Linked DNA regions of Stegostoma tigrinum. Each later gene encodes a partner of the first gene's protein in a complex. Links are inferred from orthologs where the notes say so. Each region holds a gene or a part of one and is shown on either strand. Other genes may lie near its edges.

Region 1 (7,517 bases):
TGGCACTGAGACTTGAGGCTTTGGGGAGGGAGGCCCACTTACGGGGAAAAAGACTGCCTTATGGAGATAAGACTTTTAGATCTGGATGCTTCATATTACTTTCTTGGCTCCTGTTTTTTTTTTGTATTTCTGCTTTTTTAAAAATTCTGTTTTTTGCCTCTTAGTTTTGTTTTAAATTTGAGGTTTTGTATGTCGGATTGTGCCAGAGAAGGGTGACTTTGTACACTTTTTACTGTATTCCAATACTTCTGTATTTGAGTACATGACAATAATTGGGAAACCCCATGATATTCAATAGAAGTTATTGGTTTTCAGTGAAAATTCTGGTCATTGTTGGTTTTGACATAATAATTGGAGCAGTGAATGCTGGCCTACTTGACTACTGAGATCAGTGTTTCAGTCTAGAAATCTCCATTTATGTTGGTAGCAGCCCTATCAGTTTTGTAGTAACAACCTCAGTGATTGAGCCAATGATCAGTGGTCTAACAATGATGTAACTGCACCAAACTGCTCATTTTTAAATTGACTGTTATTGATTAGGAGTGTGCTTCAAAGGGCAGTACCTGCACACAAACACACCATTTAGTAGCAGAATACTGAAAGATGTGCACAAGTTGTTCTGCTTAACTCCCACTGCTACCACAGGCCCTCACAACTCACATTCTATGTTGCCTCCACACCTTATGCCAACTCCTAATTCTTCCGAGTAGGCGTTCCGGATATAATGTGATATTGTAACATAGAAGAAATCATTACTGATAATGATATGATTTGTGAAATAAAAATGAAAATATGTATTCATTGAAATATGTATTGTGTCACCTATTGGACATGACCCATTGAGTAAGTCATTTTAAGAAAGACGGCCTTGTTAGCAGTACTTTCATCTAATCATGCCAGTTTTATTTAGAATGAAGTCAGTATTATGAACATTAGAAATGTGACTGACTTGAAATAGACTGGTAAAAACAGCCAGAAGACAAGCACTCAATGGAAGAGTAGAAGATTAATCCTACTTATCCCTTGATCAACAAAATTTTTTCAGTTTTATGAATGATCATCTCAACCTAAAACACCAGCCTTGTTTTTCCAATGGGACGCTTCCTAACCTGCTTTATAGCTCCAGGTCTTTTTTTTGTATTATTTCAGATTTTTGGTATCAGGCTGTATTTTGCTTTTGTTTTACAAAGCAGATTAACTGGTTGTTATCACATTGCTACTGGGAGCTTACTGTGTGCAAGTTGATTGCCCATTTCATGCATTTTAACAGCAAATGTAAATGGAATTAATGTAGTTTGGTGTTTGTTGGTCAGCATAGAGTTGCCAACAAAATTCCAATTTTTCAAGGATTAGGATTTGTTTAACCAATTTTAAAACTGAATTGATTCGCTTTTATTTTGCAACTGCTGGCAAAAAAGAATTCTACAGGTCAAGCTATGCTATAGGCTGCTGGAGCTTCAGCTAAATTACTTGCATCATTAACATTTCTTAACCAAATCCAAGCTCACTTCCAATATTTATAGAGTTAAATACAGCTCTTTTTATCTCTTCAAACTAGAATTCAATTTCCCACTGGAGTGAATAATTTAATTCAACAATCTAAATGAAAAGAGCCAACTGTTGGTTGTGGAAACCCAGAATAAAATACTGCTAGGATGAAAACAGCTCTAATTGGTAGCCTCACCTCTGATCTAGAGGGTTCCTGAACCAGGTCTAGAATGCATGATGTGGGCTGATGCTCCAGTGTAGTATGAATGCTCTGATGCGTTCACCTTTGCCATCCATTTGAAATCTAAAATAAAGGTTTTATTTGCGTGTCCTGCAAGTCATTTCAAGAAACCATGGCACTGAAGAGTAGGGAATTCTCCCGATGCCTTGACAAAGTTTTCTGTCAACCAACACCAAAAAAAAATCAATGGTCATTAATTTCATTGTCAATGGACGGTAGTGGTCATTAGTAACTGTTCCATTTTGCTTTTCATAAATCACAAATTTCAAAAAGCACTTGCACATTTTTTCCACTTGGCAAAGTACAATCAAATTCAAGCGGCCATTTATCAACCATCTCTAGACCTAGAAAGAGGTTAACAAAGTCCCACTGATTGTGCTGTTATGTGATAATTCAATCTCCTGAAGTGCTTGTTTTAAGAGTAAAATAAGATGCATATTCTAGAATTTTATTACCTGTTTTATATAATGCTTGGAGTGATGAATGATATGTGATATGTGGAATTCACCAAAAATCCTCAGATGACCACTTCCATCTAGAAGGACAAGGTAGCAGATATGTGGGAACACCATCAACTTCAAGGTCCCCTCCAGACCACTCCCCATCCTGACATGGAAATATTTTACTATTCCTTCATTATCTCTGGGTCAAACCCCTGAAATTCCTTCCCCAATAGCATTGTAGTTCAACCCACAGCAAGTATATTGGACTAGTTCAAGAAGCTGCTTACCACTGCCTTCTCGAGTGCAACTAGGGATGGACAATAAATGCTGTCCAGGCAGTGACATCCACATCCCACAAATGAATTTTAAAAAGTGTAAAATTTGCCACAGCAGAGAAAGTAATACTAAATTCCAACTCAAACACTAGTTGCCATGCAATCTAGTTGCTCAGTGTCAAGTGTGAGACCAGCCAGAACTTTCACCAACTAAATATAAATGAGGCCAAGTTGTTTTTGTTGCAAATAGAGAGACCTAAGGGTTCAGGTACACAGTTCTTTGAAATTGGCATCATGGGTAGACAGCATGGTGAGGAAGGCATTTGGCATGCTTGTCTTAATTAGTCAGAGCATTTGGTACAGGAGTTGTCGTGTTGCACCTGTACAAGACATTGGTGAGGCCACTTTTGGAGTACTGTGTACAGTTCTAGTGGCCCTAGTATAGTAAGGATATTATTAAATTGGAAAGGGTGCAAAAAAGATTTACCAGGTTGTTACCAGGACAGGAGAGTTTGAGTTATTACAAGAGGCTGGATAGGCTGAGACTTTTTTTCCTAAGAGTGTAGGAAGTTGGGGGATGACCTTAGAGGTTGATGAAATAATAATCAAGGCCTTTTCCCTAGATGAGGGGAATTAAAAACTAGGGGGCGTAAGTTTAAGGTGAGAGGAAAAAGATTTAAAAGGTACATGAGGAGCAACTTTTTCACACAGAGGGTGGTTCATATGTGAATGAACTGTCTGGTGAAGTGGTTCATGCAGGTACAGTTATAACATTTAAAAGACATTTGGACAGGTAGACAAAAAGGAAAGGTTTAGAGAAATGTGGGTAAAACACAGACAAATGCTTAATTTGGGAAATCTGTTTGGCATGGACAAATTGGACTGAAGGGTCTGTTTCCGTGCTGTGTACCCAATGACCCTATGACTCAGAGATGGTGGGCTTAAGGGCCTGTTTCTATGCTGCATGCCTCTGTGACTCTACAGACATTTCAAGTATTCTTAAACTATGTTATAAAGTGCTCTGTAATGTACTATGATCTTTGAAGGTCCAAAATAGACATTATTTTATTTCTTTTTGAAACACAGCAAAAGCAGACACCACCATCTCAAGTGGTGTCAATGAATCTCCAATCTCTTGGGTCTCAGAAAAAATGCTGTTAATTACTGCAGATACCCCTCCAGCAGTGCTGCTATCCAAGCCTTTATCTTGCATACCTGATCTCACTCTTATCCTAATTCCTATTACAACTCTGCTCCAAGCATAACAATGATCTTTGTGTCGTTTGCCATTTCAATTTTCCAAATTCTGACCATCTTGACTTTCCTGTCTCTGGGCAGCCATAGCATATTAATTAAATTCAATGTAAGCTCAAACAACACCACATTTCTGGACTTGGCAGTTTACAGCCTTCTGAGCACAAATTTGGATGATGATCGATTCAGAGAAAGTAGGAACTACCGATGCTGGAGAATCTGAGGTGACAAGGTGTGGAGCTGGACGAACACAGTAGTCTAAAGCAGCATCAGAAGAGCACGAAAGCGAAACGTTATCTTTCCTGCTCGAGGCTGCTGTGTTCATCCAGCTCTACACCTTGTTAACTCTTATGTTTAGATGATGGTCAGTGCTTCTTTTTTCCAACTGATGTATATCTGTTTTATTCCTTCACTTTCCACTCTGATGTTCAGCCATGCACAACTCGTCTGTACACATCTTTTGCTTCTTTACCCATTATTGTGGAATGTTTTGCCATTTAATCCCTCCTCACCCCTTATCCCCACCTCTCCAATTCTGCATTGCTTCACTCCCTCACCCTGTCTATTGCATTCATTCCTTACTCGCCTCCCTCCGGAGACCCCCCTCATAGGAAGTTAGCCTCTCTGCAGCATTTCCCCTGCCCCGAGCTTAGCCCCGCCCCCCAGCCGCGATGGTTTAGCGTGGGTGGCCAATGAGGAGCGGGTTGGGCAGCGGCGGCCTGTCAGTGAGCGGAGACAGGCGGACATAGAAGAGAGTCACTCAGTCAGATTCGGATGCAGCAGCGACTGAGTTGGGTTGGAGCTGGAGTTGGGGACGGGGACGGACCGGGTGGAGGGAGGCAGGCTGGCTGTCGGTCGGTCGGGCTCTCAGTGAACGAACGGGCTGAGGGCTCATAAGGCGCGGCCGTGGAAGGGAGACGGCATCGGTCGCCGTTCCGGGTTTCCAAGTCTCGTCATCCGGGGCTCGGAGCCTGATCCAGACCGTCTCCGGCCCATTATACATCCACCCAGAGCTCAGGCTCCGGGTTTGGCCTAACCCCTCCTCCCGTCCTTCACAGATCCGCACCCATGGCTGGGCTGTCGGCGGCGCACGGAGAGTCGGCACTCAACCTTCAAGAGAAGGAGCTCACCGACCGCTTCAAGCGGCTCTACCCCGCTGTCAACGAGCAGGAGTCGCCGCTGCCGAGATGCTGGAGCCCAAAGGATAAGTACAGCTACATCGGCCTGTCTCAGAACAACCTGCGGGTCCATTATAAAGGTAAGCGGATGGCCCCTGGCACCCAGGGACGTCTTGACACTGGTACTGAGCCCAGCTAAAGAAAAGGCAAAGAGGGTGGATGGCAGCTACAGTTTATAGGCACCGACTACCAGGCCCCTGGCCTTACATAGCAACAGTTAACACTGATACGAGAGGCCACCGAATCCCACCAAATACCTATACAGGGGTGTCATATAGCCACATTAGTCACATAGAACTATCTGGAATAAGATGAGTGCCAAGACTGATTACATGCACCGACTGTGAACAGGCCAAGACTTGTACACCACAGTTTGGAACATACACTTCCGTACACAGTGAGGAAATGAGTTGGGGAGTTGGGGGTGGGGCGAGCGGTGTGGCGGGCGCGGTGGTGACGGGCCTTGAGCACTATGTCCATAAATGACATCTGGGCCATGGCCTGTTGAGATTATTTGTTGAATACTATCAACAGAATTAAATACAGTTGAAATATTTGCTTTTAATTGAGTGTGAAAGAGCCCTCGCGGTAGAGAAAGATCTGATCTTAAAACTTATCTAACATTTTAAAAATACACGTAAGTAGAAAACAAAGCTAGTTCACGAAAGATCTCCATAGAGATAGACATGACCCTAACTAGTCAATGATTGTGAATTTTGGGTCACCAGTTAACTATTATTGAGAGTATGTGTGTAAGATACTTCTAAAACGGACATGGATTGTAATAAATCCAATGTGTGGTAGAGGGACTGTTTTGCAAGTGTCTATAACATTCAATATATAAACGATACATTATGTGAACAACTGGCAACTTTAGTTTTAAAAAAAACAAAATGAAGCCCTTTAGCCTCCAACCAGCAAAAACAAATCAGTATCGACTGTTAAGGAAGAGCAATGGATTGCAACGAGTTGCAATGTGACCTTTTCCCATCTTTTCAAAAATGAGGACTAGAGAATGACCTAAGTTTTAATTCGGTTTGAATAGAATGAGTGACTGATTCCCATTGAAAATGTTTGTTTGTGTCCTGAGTAAGAGGAGATTGGGCAGTGGGCTGAGTTCTTGGGAACCTTGCATTGCAAACCCCATTGAATTTCTGTTTTCTTTGTCGAAGGATCCAAAAGCAAGGGTAGGTTGAAAACTGAGAAGAAAGAGAAAAAAGTTAGAAGCAGATTATTTCAGAACACAGCTTCTAAATATTAATTTCATGTCAGGGTGTATCTCCAAATAATATAGAATGGATGAACTGGCTTGGAGCCAAGAATTTTACAACTATAATTTTGGATATTTTTGTTCATTATGTTTGAAGTGGACTTGTTACAGTGCAAAACTGAAGCTGGTAACAAATCAATAATTTTCTTTAATATATTAACAAATCCAATCACTGCTTTGAATTCTTTGATCATATATCACAGTTTTTGTCTGTGAATCCTGGGTAACTTTATACTTACTTTCTTAATCTGTTAAGTTTACAAACTCAAATTATTGTTAAAATAACCTTAACGCTGTAGTTTCCTTTATTTATCCTGCTAAACTGTTTCTTTACAAATGTCATGCAGCCTCCTCTCCCCTGTGTACTCAGATGTCAGGGTAATATTATCTGTGCTTTTCATTTGAGGTATCATTACTCAGTGATGTCATTTAATGCAAAATGTTCCATTCTGCAGAATGACACCAAAGCATGACTGCAGTTGTTTTTCAAGTAAATTATTTAGACAGTAGAGTACTGTATCTATTGCTCCTCAGTGACCACTCTACAATAATGTTTTTGTAAGTCTTGGCATTGTCTCTGCTTAATGTTGAAGGTACCTTCAGACCTTCTCGCTAGGTTACGTCAATTGTTTGTGTTTTGCAGTGATTGAACTTAAATTTTGGAAATGAAAATCTAAAGATTAGCTGCATTTTGTTCAACCCTCATTCTTTGGTTTTGCACTCTAGGTAAATCTACTCATCTACAAATAATACCAGGAATCTTTAACTTCTGCTTGAACTATTGGGACATGATCAAATCTTGCTTTCATTCAAAGTGCAGGACTTCTGATAAAGCCTTGAGAGCACACTGAAGTCACAGCTAGCTTTTGTGCTCAAGTCCCTGAATGAGGTTTGAATTCTCAACCTTCAGAATTCAACTAAAACCAAGTTGACGCCTCGCCCATGCAGTATCCATGAAATTAATTATCCGCAGGCAGTCAGTTGGATAAAACAACATAAAGTTAGACCCTATATGACTTAATATGCCTCCAGTGTCAAAAATTTGCAGATGTTGGACTCTGTTTCTGGCATTTTCACTTACAGGTCAGCGAGTATTTGAGAATTCATACAACTTGAAATTTCAAACATTAGATTAGTAACATTTTAGAAATGTGGCCTTTCTGTGAATAAAGAGTCTATACTTGAAATTTCAACTTTTTTAAACAGATGTTTCCTGAACTAGTGACTGCTTGCAGCGATTTGTCATTTAACCCTTAAAAGTGCCAGATAATAAAATAACAGGTGTGATTTGTTGAGGCAACAATGTGGACCTAGATCTCCCAACAGTGTTGGAAACTTTTTGTCCAACTGTCATTGGACGAGAGAAGA
Region 2 (7,539 bases), on another chromosome or scaffold:
GAGCTTAGCTCACCACTCTCTATCTTACCTACTAGATGGAACTAAGAGACGGTTGTGTGCTCTGCTTCATGGAGACTTGACTCACCCCTGCCATTGCCGAATGTGCCCTACAAGCAAGTGCCCAACAAGTGTTCTCCATACACCACATCGACTGTGTGGCATCCTTGGGTAAGGCGAAGGGTGGTGGGGTATGCTTCCTGAGCAATATCTCCTGATGCTGAGACCCTGACAAGCTACAGCTCTCCAGAACTAGAATACCTTATAGTAAAATGCCTCTCTATCCCACCTAAAATGCTGTCCCTACTACCTACCATGTGAGCTCACCTCTGCCATCCTGACAGCAGACTACATACCACCACATGCACCTGCAAAGAATGCCCTAGACGAGATTTATAATGCCACAAACACCCTAGAGACAAGTTTCCCCGAGTCCCTATTCATTGTGGTCAGTGACTTCAACCAAGCCAACCTCAAGCAGGTGGTGCCAAAATACCACCAACACATCTCCTGCCCCATATTCTGGACCAATGCTACACAACCTAAAGACACCTATTACTCAATATCCTGCCCACACTTTGGAAAATCCGATCACAGCACTGTCGTCCTAGCTTACAATCAGGAGCTGAAACATGACAATCCTTTACAAAATGAAGTACAGTGCTGGTCCAAGGCAGCGGCAGACCTTCTCCAGGACTACTTGGACTCGGTGGACTGGACCATGTTCAGTGGAAAACCTAGATGAGTATGCCACCACTGTCAGGGACTTCATTAGTTTATTGGGTGTGAACCAAAGAAATCAGTCTGTGTTCCCCAACCGTAAACCTTGGATGAACCAGGAAATCCACTCCCTACTGAAGACCAGACATGCAGCATTCAAGTCGGGTGACCCAAACCAATACAAGAAATCCAGATTAGACCCCCGCAAAGCCATCAGGGAGGGCAAGAGGCAGGTGGAGACCCAGACCTACCAAACAGACTCCCGCTGTCTATGACAAGGCCTAAATGACATTACGGGATATAAAATGAAACAGTGTAAGATAGCGGACAATGACACATCCCTCCCTAACACGCTCAATGCTTCCTATGCTCAGTTTGACACCTGTCCACACAGCCCCAGAAACACCTGTTCCCTCTGTCACCAATCTAAAAGTCAGATTGCTCTTCCTGGGAGTCAACTCGGAGAGCAGTGGGACCGGACGGTTTCCCAACCGAGCAGTCAGATCCTGTGCAGACCAACTGGTGGAGGTATTCACAGATGTCTTCAACCTCTCCCGCCCGCAGGCCACCGTCCCCACCTGTTTCAAGAACACCGTCGTCATCCCTGCACCCAAGAAAACAAATGCAGTGTGTCTTAATGACTACCGCTCAATAGCCCTGGCTTCAATTATCACAAAGTTCTTCGAGAGGCTGGTCATGACCCACAGTTTGCCTGCCGACATAACAGGTCCACAGAGGATGCCATATCATAGCCCTGGAACATCTGGACAACAAAGGCACCTTCATCAGGCTCCTGTTCATTGACTACAGCTCTGCCTTCATCACCATTATCCCTTCCAGAGTGATCTCAAAACTCTGTGACCTGGTTTCGGTTCTGCCCTCTGCAACTGGATCCTCAGCTTTCTGACCCATAGGCAGCAATTAGTGAGGATAGGTAATTGCACACCCTCCACAATAATATTCAAACAGGAGGCCCCCTAGGATGTGTCTTCAGTCCCCCACTGTACTCCCTGTACATCTATGAATATGTCGCTAAATTCCAAACAAACATCATCTACAAGTTCGCTGATGACACCACCACACTGGCACAGATACCTAACAACAACATTTCAAAATAGAGGGGAGACAGAGGCATTGGTGATATGTTGCCATGAAAACAATCTGTCTATCAACGTTGGTAAAACTAAAGAACTGATCATCAAGTTCAGAAAGAAAGGAGAAGAATATGCCCCCATCTACATCAACAGAATTGATGTTGAGAGGGTGACCAGAATCCAGTTTCTCAGTGATAATAACCAGCAACGTGTTCTAATTTTCCCATGTAAATGCAACAGTCAAGAAGGCACAACAATGCCTCTTCTCCCTCAGGCAGATCAGGAAATTTGGCTTGTCCATAATGTCCTTCACCAATTTCTACAGATGCACCATTGAAAGCAAACTGTTCAAGTGCACAACGGCCTGATAAGGCAACTGTTGTCCCCAGGACTGTAAGAAACTACAGGCGGTGGTATGCACAGCCCAGACCATCATGGAAGCCAACCTTCCACCCATGGACTCTATTTACACGGCTCGACTGCAGAAAGGTGGCCAAAATCATCAAAGACCTCCCTACGATCTTTTCCGTCAGGCAGAAGGTACAGAAGCCTGACCCCACACATGCAGGTTCAGGAACAGCCTCTTTCCAGCAGTTACAAGACTGTTGATAACAAAGTGTGGAGCTGGATGAACACAGCAGGCCAAGCAGCATCTTAGGTGTACCTAGGTGTGTTCCTAAGATGCTGCTTGGCCGGCTGCGTTCATCCAGCTTCATGCTTTGTTATCTTGGATTCTCCAGCATCTGCTGTTCCCATTATCTGAGACTGTTTGAATTGACTCTAGCCTCAAATAATGTAACCTGTATTTCTATGTCTTTTTGATCTGTGCATCCTTTGCTTGCTGTGATCTGCCTGTGTCACACGTAAACAAAGCTTTTCAATAAAAACCACAAGAACGGCAGATGCTGTAAATCAGGAACAAAAAACAAAATTGCTGGAAAAGCTCAGCAGGTCTGGCAGCATCTGTGGAGGAGTAAACAGAGTTAACGTTTTGGGTCTGGTGTTCTAAGGAAGGGTCACCGTACCTGAAACGTTAACTGTTTTCTCCTCTGCAAAGCTTTGCACTCTGATTATTTCAGTACATGTGACAATCAATTGACCCTATGGAGCAGGCTCAAGAGGCCAAACAGCCTACTTCTGATACTATGTCGTTTGGTTTTATCTTTCTACTACTTTAGTTTTCTCTAATCTTATTTGTTGATTTATTCTTAGATTTTTAATGTCTCTCCCTTCCTGTCGCAGTCTGTTTATGATTTCCCAAACTAATACCTTTCCTTTTTTCCTTGTATATTTTCTTTGATTTAGCATGCCTTCCCAAAAATGATTCATTGGCCCCAGTAATTAGTTTTTAAATTCCCTCTACTCCCCTACTTTATACAGCTCATAAGAACAGCAGCCGGGTGGAGTCCAGACAGAGCTTGGCCCAATGGTATAGATCCCACTTTACCCAATACAGGTGTCAAAGGTCCATGAACGAGTACTTACTTCTCTAGCACCAGACTTTGAGCACAAATTCATCTCTCTAATTTGATTTGAGCCCATGGCTCAGGTAACAATCCTCAGATCATGACCTTTGAATTTCTTCTTAGTTTTGTGTCGATGTCATGGAGCATGACAACTAGATCTTCCCCCTGCAAATTCCACTTCACCACCATTCATGAATGGCTGTGACAGGACTGAACAGTGTTAAACTGATCTGTTGATTGTGAGATATATGGCTTGCCCTGTTGTATGCATGTCATGTTATACTGTAGTTGTACCAAGTTAGCACTCATATTTAGATATATGCCTGGTAAAACTCATAACACTTCTCATTGCATCCCCATTTAGGTCTCCATTAAAAGACTCATCAATTTAAAACCCTCAACTTTTTTTCAAACTCCACCTTGGTCCTGCAGTGTTTCTATAATTCCCTCTATCGCCACAATCCTCTGAAATTTTACACTCCTCTAATTCTGCCCCCTTGAGTATGCTGGATGTCTCCTTCTCCACGATCAACGTTTGTTTTCTACAATGCTCCAGCTATGTAAACTTGACATCTTGTTTTACACAGACCAGAGATAAAAAGAAAAGTTTATATGAAAGCAACGTAGGTGTAACAAAAAAGTGTAGATCCTGGAAATCAGAAACAAATTCAGAAATTGCTGTAAAAACTCAGCAGATGTGGCAGCATCTCTGGAGAGAAAGCAAAGTTAACATTTCAGGACCATTGAACCTTCAAAACTCAATATGTAATATATAAATGCTAAGAAGGTGTTTAGTGAGAATCGTCCCCCGGAGGACGATTCTCATGGTCAAAGTCAAGACTTACAAAGCCAACGAATCTCTGCAGGCATTTCCTACAGCAGGGCAGTGAGACACGAGATAACAAGGTGTAGAGCTGGATGAACAGAGCAGGCCAAGTAGCATGAGAGGAGGAGGAAAGCTCACGTTTCAGCTTTGCTGCTCCTAAGATGCTGCTTGAGCAGCGACGTACTGCCAGTTGTGACATTATTCAATAGGAGCAGATAGTCAATGGGAGCGAGACTGACAACTAAGCGACTATATCTCCCAGAATGCCTCGGGGGGCTGCACATGCGCAACAGCTGAACGTCTACCGTCATCCGAAGGTGACGGCATGCCTCCCCTCTCTACCAATGGGAAAGTGCCGTTGTACAAGGTCGGCGGTGACGGCAGAAAGGAGCCAATGAGAAAAAGCGATGCTGGCTCCGCAGGCGCCGTCTGTGGGAGGTTTGCGGCCATCTCGCGTTGTCAGGGTTTGACGAGGAGAAGTGGCGGTTGTAGTGGCCGAGTTTGCCTGCGATATTTATTTAAGCAGACTTCCCCCTCCCTCCCTTTACCCCCTTCCCCCTCCTTCCCGCTTTCGGGCGCTGGGCCGGGCTGACATCGCGCGATGCCCGTCCGCACTGAGTCGGCCTCGCTGATCCCGCCGCCCCCCATCAACACTCAGCAGCCTGGGGTCGCCACCACGCTCCTGTACAGCGGCTCCAAGTTCAGGGGCCACCAGAAGAGTAAAGGCAACTCGTATGACGTGGAAGTTGTGCTGCAGGTAACATTCTAAGTGCGCATCAGTCCTTTAAACCTCTGCTCACTCCTTAGGAGGAGGATCGGTATCACATCGAAACTCACTGTTGACATTCGGCTTACAATTTGTTTCTGCCTTGTTTCCTGTAAACACTATGAATGCCAGCACTCAGCGGATAACCTTCTTTGCATGTGTAAAAAAAAACAGATCAAGGGAGGATAATTTTGATCAGCAAACCCGTTCCCTCTCTGACCCGGTCTGTTTGAGTTTCTACTGAGTCATTTTATAAAATTACCGTATAGTGCCTGCCTGTCTTCGATGTTGTTAGAATCAAAAGTGGCAAATGTTGGAGGCACTCTGGGACAGTATTTGTAGAGCAACAGTCCGATTCATGTTTTCAATACTAATCCTCATTTTGCTCCTATAACGTAGGAGATCAGTAATTTGATTCTGTCCTTTTTATATTTGTTTTCTTTCTTTCTTTCTTCAGATTAATTCTGATACATGTTCTGCTTGTAGTAATTTTGCTTTATAGATTTGTGTCTTCTTTCCCAGTCACTCCTCATTGGCTGTCATCGAGTTACAGTTGAAAATGTTCCATAGAATCACTACAGTGTGCAAGAAGGCCATTTGGGTCATTGGGTTCACACCAACCTTTTCTGAAGACCATCCCATCCTGACCCTACTCTATGCCTGTAATCCTCCAACTCTCATGGCTAACCCACCTAATCTACACATCCCTGGACACTGGGCAGTTTAGCATGGACATTCCACCTAACCTGCACGTCTGGACTGTAGGAGGAGACCAGAGCACCCAGAAGAAACCCCTGCAGACACAGGGAGCATGTGCAAACTCCACATAGTCTCCTGAGGTTGGATTTGAACCCGAGTCCCTGGTGCTGTGAGCCACCATGATACTGTACTCTTTATAAACCTTTTGAATTGGTTATCTGCAATATCTATTTTTTTCTGTAGCTTGCAGACCTAAGTTTGCTACTGCTAGGAATGTAAGTAGGCCGTTCAATCTCTTGAATCTGTTCTATCATTCTAGCTGGTAATGACTGGTCTACACCTCAGTAATTACTTGCTGATGATGTGTATTATTTGGTACTTTTACCTAATAATAAGTATCATTATCTGTGTTAATATTTCAATTAACCTATTCAATGTTTCAAATGAATTTATTACTTTTTCTGTGGGGAATAACATCCTTCCTGAGTGATCTCACTGTAATTTTATTTTGAACTGCAGGAGTGTTTTTCTGCCTGCACTGTGCAAAATCATTTTGATTACCTTGCATCTCCTGCAACTTACTAAGTTTGAGAGAGTACAAATCAAATTCACACAGAGTATTCATAATTCAGCTCTTCTAAGCCCAAGTATCTTTTTGTTGAGTCTGTGTTGCACTTCCTTGAACACTAATTTACCTTCCCTGTAATGTATCTACAGTACAGAAGGAGGCACAAGGCAGGTATAGACAGCTGAGATCAAGTGAATCAGCTGAGGATATAAGGACAGCTGGAGTATATTCGAGAGCAAAAAAGGGGATACAAGACAGCTTTAACATATAGGTTTAAGGAAAACCCAAAGACATTCTACAGATGCACTAAGTGCAAAAAAGTTAATTAGGGAGAGAATAGAGCCCCTTAAAGATTAACAGGACTATCTACGTTTGGACCCACAAGAGATGGGTGAGATACTAGGGTATTTCAAGTCAGTATTCACTGTGTAAAAAGATACGGGAGCTAGAAAACTTGGAGAAATGAGTAGTGATATCTTGAAAAGCGCCCACATTACAGAGGGGGTGATTCTGGATGTCTTAAAAAGCACAAAAGTGGATAAATCTCCAGTACCTGATCAGGTGTATTCCCCTCAATGGGAAATGAGGGAAGTGTTTTCTGCGACCATTGCTGAGATATTTGCATCATCGATGGCTATGGGTGAGATGCCGGAAGACTGGAAGGTGGCCAATGTGCCATCATTTAAGAAGAGTATCAAGAAAAGCCAGGGAACTATAGACTGAACCTGATGTTAGCGGTAGGTAAGTTGTCGGAGGGGATTTGGAGAGACAGGATCCGCATGTATTTGGAAATGCAAGGTCCAATTAGGGATAGTCAACATGGCTTTGTGCATGGGAAATTATATCCCGTTAACTTGGTTGTTGCTTCTTCAATAAGTTCAAAGAAGATTGAAACCAGACCAGTGGATGTTGTCTAAATGGATTTCACTAAGGTGTTCAGCAGGGTTCTGCATGGTAGACGAGTTAGCAAGGTTAGTACACATGAAATCTAAGGAGAGCTAGCCATTTGGATACAAAATTGTCTTGAAGGTAGGAGACGGAGGATGGTGGTGGAGGGTTGTTTTATCAATTTTTGGAGGTCTGTGAACAGTGGTGTACCACAAATATTGGTGTTGGGTCCTCTGCTTTTTGTTCATGGTATAAATTATTTGGATATGAATGTACAAGGAATGGTTGATTTGTAAGCTTGCTGGTGAAACCAAAATTGGTGTTGTAGTGAACAGTGAAGAAGATTATCTTAGGGTACAACAAGACCTTGAACAGATGGGCTGAGAAAGAGCAAATAGAATTTAATTTGGATAAGTGTGAGGTGTTGCATTTTGATAAGGCAAATCAAGGCAGGACTCATACTGTCAAGTTCGTTTTCAGAGACCCTCACAGACTTGATGCAATAGCAAGACACT

Evidence for each region. The genes of interacting proteins can lie anywhere in the genome.
Region 2: the proteins of ranbp9 (region 1) and gid4 are in contact, whole or in part, in a cryo-EM structure (PDB 7NSC), measured with the Homo sapiens proteins. The link is inferred for Stegostoma tigrinum from reciprocal best matches to the Homo sapiens genes RANBP9 and GID4. Residues at the interface, in NP_005484.2 of Homo sapiens: Ser223, Lys224, Gly225, Arg226, Asp227, Gly228, Tyr229, Met230, Gly256, Asp257, Thr274, Phe275, Thr276, Thr277; in NP_076957.3 of Homo sapiens: Leu187, Arg189, Asp194, Glu195, Asn216, Asp218.

The regions. Positions count from the first base shown.
Region 1 is NC_081355.1:38,961,057-38,968,573, forward strand, and holds the start of ranbp9 (ran-binding protein 9), read left to right. Parts: upstream 1-4,400; 5' UTR 4,401-4,491; exon of another isoform or gene 4,492-4,759; 5' UTR 4,760-4,769; coding exon 4,770-4,959; intron 4,960-7,517. UniProt on the Homo sapiens protein: May act as scaffolding protein, and as adapter protein to couple membrane receptors to intracellular signaling pathways. Acts as a mediator of cell spreading and actin cytoskeleton rearrangement.
Region 2 is NC_081376.1:25,766,869-25,774,407, reverse strand, and holds the start of gid4 (glucose-induced degradation protein 4 homolog), read left to right. Parts: upstream 1-4,532; 5' UTR 4,533-4,704; coding exon 4,705-4,860; intron 4,861-7,539.